Arabidopsis thaliana: one gene and its partner. The gene in region 1 interacts genetically with each later gene. Each region holds a gene or a part of one and is shown on either strand. Other genes may lie near its edges. The genes, in order: CSN5A and RAC10.

What was found.
Region 2: of CSN5A (region 1) and RAC10, a change in one rescues a mutant of the other (synthetic rescue), as found in Arabidopsis thaliana (one study listed by BioGRID).

The regions. Positions count from the first base shown.
Region 1 is NC_003070.9:8,110,244-8,114,175, forward strand, and holds the start of CSN5A (COP9 signalosome 5A), read right to left. Parts: upstream 1,819-3,932; 5' UTR 1,653-1,818; coding exon 1,263-1,652; intron 1,136-1,262; coding exon 854-1,135; intron 768-853; coding exon 620-767; intron 517-619; coding exon 431-516; intron 1-430. UniProt on the Arabidopsis thaliana protein: Probable protease subunit of the COP9 signalosome complex (CSN), a complex involved in various cellular and developmental processes such as photomorphogenesis and auxin and jasmonate responses.
Region 2 is NC_003076.8:25,235,075-25,239,006, reverse strand, and holds the start of RAC10 (RAC-like 10), read right to left. Parts: upstream 2,045-3,932; 5' UTR 1,772-2,044; coding exon 1,667-1,771; intron 1,207-1,666; coding exon 1,119-1,206; intron 975-1,118; coding exon 865-974; intron 757-864; coding exon 693-756; intron 603-692; coding exon 538-602; intron 445-537; coding exon 379-444; coding exon of another isoform or gene 308-378; coding exon 195-307; intron 105-194; coding exon 68-104; 3' UTR 1-67. UniProt on the Arabidopsis thaliana protein: Involved in local disassembly of cortical microtubules when associated with ICR5 and KIN13A.

The DNA of each region.
Region 1 (3,932 bases):
ACAGCCAGAGATAACAGAACTCTAGGAAGCAGACATAGACTATTGGCAACAACTCGTTGACAAATTGATACATCAAAGTCTCCCTGTTTTACTAGTTCAAACTTTAATAGCTCTGTATATTTTTGACTAAACATACACTCAATTGTGAAATTTCAAACCCAGAAAAGGTAAAACATAGTGTTTTGCAGGTAGAGTTTCTATTAGTCAATATCCAGTCAACATAATGCCTAAGAATAAAAAGTTCAAATTTAATCCAAGTTGCTAGATGTTGATAGTAGCAGTTAATTAGCCAAATGAAAAGTTTCTACACAGGAACAAGCTTGAAAAGTGGCAAGTGTATGAGCTCAAGATCATGGTCCAGTATCTCAGACAGTCAATAAACATTGAGAACATAACAAATAATTTTGCTAAAGCAACCATTTAGACAAACCTCTTTCCTCCTTTGGTGACCGGCTGGCGCAATTCCTCCATACCGGGAGTTAGCGAGCTGACTCTCCGCTTGCTCGAGCTTCTCAGCTTCATCATGTAAACAATTAAATGGTAAGAAAAGAGGATATATCAAACTACGACCTGGATGAAAAGTAAATTAACTTGCTCTTTCATATATACAAGAATTTACCCAAGTCTGATATTTGCCCGGCAACATAGTCTCCATTGCCCAACAGTGGGGAAGAAGAAAGAGTGTTCACCCAGTACTTGTTCCAAAGGAGATCCAGAAGGTGACTATCGAGAGATGACTTGAAATAAGTGATGTCCAATGAGTAGTACTGCCACATACAAAAAAAATGAATCATAAGATCGATGATTAAAACCCTCCCAAGTTTTAAAATCGATAAATAAGAATTATACATACCTGTTTGCAATGTACACCAAAGTCCTCAATCTTGTTAAGAGGGATAGTCTGATACTCAGAAACATGATCATCCGAGATCTTATGTCCCTCTGGATATGTTCTGAATGCCCCAATCTCAACCTTACCAGCCGAAACAGTCCTTGTTGGATCAATAACAACAGCTAAGAATGGCTCCTGATACTGTTGGTTAAGCATCTGTGTCGAAACATCAATACCCGAGAGCCAACATCCATACCCAGGGTGAGAGTGATACCATCCAACAACGTTCTCCAACCTCCCAGCCTATAGTTCAAAGTTACAGTCATAACCAATCAATCAAACACTCGCAAAATCTTGCATAAAGGATCCAAGTAGCAACTAGCTAATTAAACAAGGAGCTACAGCGAGAGATGAATAAGAGATATCTTACCAGCTTGCTGGTCTGAGAGTATTCAACCATATACTCATAGGCATCAGACTGAGCATTAACCCTAGTCTCAGTACCTTCAACAGGCAAAGCAAAAGCATCCATAACGATGATTGTATCACCCTCGGTTTTACCCTGCATAAGACCCATGATCTCGATTGTGCCACCGGAGCGAGCGTGAACCACCATCTTGAGAAGAGCAAGGGCTGAGATGTGAACGCGCTTGAAGTAGTTAGGATCGGAGGCCCATGGCTTCTCCTGCTGGATTTTGGCTTGTGAAGCGTCGTCGTAGTGGAATATACTGTCGGAGGCTGAATCGGTTGGTTCCACTGGGAGAATGTTGTTCTCTAGCTCCCATGTCTTCCTCGCGATGGCTGACGAGGAACCTTCCATTGAAATCGACTTCGAAGAGTAGAATAAATCTAGGGTTTTGCTTAATCGCGAGAATTGATTTGAGGGTTTGAGTCAGAAAGAAAGAAGAAGGCAAACAAATAGAGAGAGATCTTTGGGTTCTTGGGTTAAACCGGTTTGCGAGAACAAAACTCAAAATGGATTTACTTAATATGGGATTTGGGGACTAATGCTAATCCAAAACATTAACCATATAAAATTTTTATGGAAATTTAATATTGTACATTTTTTATTAAATATTTTTCCCTTTTTATTTTTAGTTTGTTTAACTTTTATAGAAATCAATGTTGGCAAATCAAAGGATAAATTCCAGTCATTGTATCAACCAATTGGTATAGAAATCAATGTTGGCAACACATAGATTTGGCATACAATATCTTAAATCACAAAGCGTAAAAGAAGAGTAATGCATCTCATGCATATTTCTTGAGATATCCACACATGCATAATTTCACCAATGTAGTAAGCTTATTTTGATAGCATGTTCAACTTATATATTGTGTGAATTATGCTTGACTTTATGGCATAGACGTTGATCTTTAGCTATAAAGTCAAGCTTTTGTCTTCTCATTCTATCATCGATCAAAGCATCTAAATCACTTTCCTCTCTTTTCTTCTCTTGTTTGTGTCAGAACTCAGAGAGTATAACATAAGGTTAGCTTTCGATCAGTTTTTTATTTTGAGTGTTGCGAATCAAAAGAAAAATTAGTTTTAGCATTAGACCTAAATATTTGTACAAGGACACAGTGTAATATTTGTAAAGCAATTAACATAGAACAAATAATGAAACACAACAATACTATAAAGATGTTTTGAGTTAAGGAGAGAGATCATCAAAGTGCTTGCTTAAATTTCTACCGTGTTGTTGTGTTTCATTACTTGCTTAAATGCTTAATGATAACTGCTTTAAAAATATTAGATTGTCTTCATGTACCAACATTCAGGTCCTACATCCAAAATATTATACAAGACAAAGAATTCACTACAATATAAATACGCTAAAATTTAAGAGCAGCCTCAATTATATGCATATACTAAGATTATGGCCGCCCCTGCTATGCTGATACAAAATAAATGCCAAATTACATCATATATCAAAATATTTTGGCAAAATAAAACATAATTGCCTTTAGTTGGATTTTGAAAAAAAAAATGGAAGATCTTCTGAGTTTGTGAGAAAGAAGAGCAATAAAGAAGAAGTTAATGCATCTGTTTGACTGTTACAATTACTTATAAAAAAAAAAGTGGAAGAAAGTTTAGAGGAGAGGATACATTTTGAGATCATGGGGAAGGAGTGGTTGCTAACAAAGTGGTAATAGAATTAGATTACGTGAAAGTATAAAAGTAAAATTTGAAAGTTTTGTGACATGTGGTAAATGTTGCTGTTTTTGAAAGTGTTGTCCCATTTGAAAGTTTTGTCACATTCGGTAAAATTTGAAAGTTTTGTTACATGCAGTTTTGAAAGTTTTGTCACATTCGGTAAAATTTGAAAGTTTTGTTACATGCAGTTTTTGTTAAAATGACGGTTAATTTAGAGGGGGGTGGGAGGGGGAGGGTAAGTAGTTATATGATTTTGATGATTTTGTAGAAGTGTATTCAATCTAGTATTTTAAGTGATTTGTGTAAAATTTATCAATCATGGATTTTAAAAACTCTATTAAAATCAAGTGTTATTGAACTAACGATTTTAAAATTTACTTTTAAATCAACTGTTATTGAAAACAAATCTCATGATTGTAGATGGAATTTGAAAAGATTGTACAATTAATCACATCAACTTTCTTAAAATTATAGAAATCTTTTCAAATTCTATCTAAAACCATGAGATTTGAATTTGTGTATTTGTAACTAAAGAAGTTTTCTCAAATCTTTCAAGATGAATAAGAATCAACTCCACAAACTGTTTTCAATAACAATTGATTTTAAAGTTAATTTTTAAATTATTAGTTTAATAACATTGGATTTCATTAAAGTTTTTAAAATCTATAATTAAATAACATAAAGTTTGTAAATTTTACACAAATAATTTAAACTACTAGATTAAATACACATCCTTTAGTATATATAGATTTGAGAAAGTGGATAACATTTTTTTTGTTGATGTCTAGCTTGAAACAATTCATACGCCCTCAGTTTCTATATCTTTATAAACTTGGTACAATTGATGACAAAAGTCCACAAAATAAGGGGTCATTGGAATTAAAGCGTTACAATCTTTATACCACGTGGTTGCAATATAAGGGTGACCAAGGTATTACTCAA
Region 2 (3,932 bases), on another chromosome or scaffold:
TCTCTCGTTTATCACACAATCTCAAAAGTGGAGTTTAAAATCATCAGACTGAGTTGGGTCATCGTCATCAATGCCGAGTCACTATCCTCCCACACAGAACATTTCTGCACATACAAAATAAACACAAAGGTGAAATCAGTACCCTTCATAAGATTGTAGATGCAGAGTTTGTAAAGATTTGTATATATACTCACGATAAACAGCCGTGATTCGACTTTTGCTTCTTCTTCTTCTTAGTCTTCTCCTTTTGTTTAACCAGAGGTTTGATCACTTCCTTTATCGCAGAATCAAAAACTGCTTTCACATTCTGCAATATATAAACTTCATCGCTTTGTTAATCCGAAGAAAAGAGTAACATAAAGAAGCTGCCTCATATACCTGTTGAGTTTTTGAACTACACTCAATGTAATACGTCGCACCAATTAGCTTACGCAACTCCTCTCCCTATCAGATAGAAATGTTCATTTAGTTAATACCATCAAGCCTTATAGTGGAATTATATGAAATCTAAAGTAAAAAGGCTCTTTAAGACTAAACCTGTGCAGTAGTTACAGGGGATAGTCCAGGATGATCAGCCAAATAATGCTTATCTTCACGAAGATCTACACCAGTGTTGTAAGAATCATTAGCTATGAATTGTAACTAAACGGTTAAGAGGAATCTGTTGGTAAATGCTCATCGGTTATTCTTACCTAATTTGGTACCAACAAGGACAAGGGGAACTCCTGGAGCAAAGTGTTGGAGTTCAGGGATCCACTGACTCAATAAGAACAGTCATATAACATTAGAAATGACTCATTCTGACACTATAAGAGTCTTATCGTTTTCAACAATTAGAGAAAAGGATCATTTATTCAATCAGACCTTTTTAAAAACATTCTCGTAGCTAGCTCGGCTGACTAATGAGAAAGACAAGACGAAAACATCTGCTCCCCTGTAACTTAAAGGCCTTAATCTGTTATAGTCTTCTTGCCCTGCAAACAAAGGATATACATATGTAACCTCATATGAGACAAAGCTATTCAATGGATCTCATTTATCAACCAAATGAAAGAACTAGACCAATAAGAATGTTATAAACCACTATAGGATTCAAGACTCAGAAAGAGTGTTCATACCAGCAGTGTCCCAAAGCCCCAAATTGACAGTGGTGCCTTCAACAACAACATTTGCACTAAAGTTGTCAAAAACTGTTGGTATGTAGTCCTGTTACAAACAATTCATCAAATCAATACACAGTTTCAAACTTTCAATCATCAAATCAAGCATATATACATATAATAATAATAATAATAGCAATGAAGAAAAAGTCTGACGAATCCAGACTCCAGAGGATGTTAAATGAAAAAAGATAACATAAAGCTGGACTATACACAAAAGCTGCAAAAACCCAGATGCGCCACACATACTTATGAAAAGTAAAAAAAATCAAAATCTCCAAAAATGGATCTTATATCATGCACAGTTCCTAGGAAAAAGGAGCTAACTTTGACATACCCAGATAGATTCTAAGAACCTTTATGGCAATAAGAAGCTGAAATTTAGTAGACCCAGATACTGAAATTGATTAAAATTTTGTAAAATTTGAGCTAAATCTGATAAATCCAGATGAGATTCCTGATCAAAATTCAAGAGAGAAAGAGAGGTCTTTTTAAAGAGAACTTACAGTGGGGAATTTATTGCTGGTGTAGCAGATGAGCATACAGGTTTTACCAACAGCACCATCACCAACAGTCACACACTTGATGAACTTTGAAGCACTTGAAGCCATTTTGATCTCAAAACAAACATACAAAGCAAATACCAAAAGGAAGCAAAAGAAATAGAGAGAGAGAGAGAGATAAATGAAGTGAGATTACTTAAAAAGAGGAGTAAAAGATAAATAAACCCTCTTTAGAGCATAGAAGAAGGTAGGGTTTGTTGCATAAATTTATGGCTTTTTTTTCTGTTCCTTTTTTACTTTTTTCTGTTTGTTTTTTCAATATTTCCAATTAGATAAACGAAATTGTTTATTGGTATTTGGTGGCTTGTTTTTGGTTTGAACTTGAAGATAGAGAAAGAGCGGTGATGACTCACATGATCCATCGTCCAAGCTTTCCTTTTCCAAATTCTTGTAGTTCATTTATTACTCCAACGAGCAAATTTGCATTGGAATTTGTTAACCAAATCTTGGTGGTTCAATCTTGTTTTTTTTTTTTTAAGTGTTTATTACACTTGTATTGGATTGTAAGAAAATGAAATAATGTGTATTACATACAAGTATGGCGTTACGAATCGAATTATAAGAGAAGGTAGATATTCGTCAAGTTAATAATAGTGTCACGTTGAGCCACACAGTGACAAGTGAAGATGGATATACCATATTTGTATACATTAACATGTACTGTCGAATACATGTTTTGCTATTTTTGTTTTTCTCTCGAGACTTACATATCATATAATGTATATAGCATAACTTACAAGCTAGGGTTACAAAATATATAAAATAATAGAATATCATAGCAACAAAAATTTATAGCAAAATCACTAAGACCAACCTTTCAACATTACTTATATCACAATTCACAAGTGTAAAACTGATAATTCTAAAATTGTAATTTTAGTTTAGGATATTCATTTATTATATTAGGATATATGGATTTTTTTATGTGGACCTACTTTTAAAAAAACTTATCATCTAATTTAATTTACTCAAGATATTTAAAATTGCCAACAAGAGTTTCGTTGGCAACAACCAGCAATAAAAATTCTCAATATTCACAAAGCAACTTTTAATACAGTTATTAAAAATTGAATACTCTTACCAAATAGTTCCTTTTTGTTTGTTTATGGATATAATTGCAGACTCATGGTTTAGAAAGTAAAAGTGTTTTTGTCATGTGTTTAAATAATCATTTATAGGTGGATGTTGGAGCCAAACTGTGTGAACATCTACCAAAAGCAGAAGATAAATGATTTTATTTTATAAGGTAAGTTAATTATTGGAGTAATACCTACGACTATATCGACGGCGACGCAACCACCATAAATATGAAAATGCAAAAGTATTGTTAACTAGAGAGGTCTTCAAAAGGACGACCACGGGAACTTATCGCTCTCTGGTCCAATATTTTAGTATTTTGCAAGTTATTTCCACCAAAAGCTCCAAAATACAAGTACAAATTAAAGTAGCTGATTAATAATACAATACAATGACAAAAGTATGGCCTAAACCAGATAAATATAGAGACTAGTAAGAACGAAAATCGCAAAAGGAGACTAGTAATCACATTAAACTAAATCAATATATGTGTATGTGTGTACAAGTGAATCCATAACTTTTGGTCTCTAAGGAAGACATGTAACAGGAGCATATGTCGTGCTGGTGTAAGGATAGCGTCATTGAAAAGAAACAAGAACAAACGATAAATATATATTTCCACAACAGTTGATGCGCGTAAAAGCAAAACGTGATTAACAGTGGAAATTATCCATAAAGTGAAAAAGACTTGAAGATCACAAATCCGAGTTTTGGCAGTAAGAAATATGGTTATTGGATTTGAAGTTGGGTTAATATTGAAAAAGTAAAAGTTTTTTCGAATATATCATATGAACTCAACAAACAAATGCAACGGGCCCGACAACTCAATATATGGGCCACATCCGAAACGAGCCGACCCACGTAATGGAAGTCCCTTGCCAGGTCACGTGTTTTCTCCCTCTTTGTTCCTATCGGTCCCTTCTTTTATTGTTTTCTTTAATTTGCTGTTTCTTTTGGTCTTATGAATTTTGAACCATTCTTATGAATCTGAAGGTGAATCGATTCTTCGGTACAGTTTTCTCTCTAGAACATGTAAATCGTTATGTAGTTCCTTAATAAATTGAGAGAAACGAAAAAATGTATTTGAATGTTTTGATCAATGATCGTCATTCGTTTATGGCTTCCAATAGAA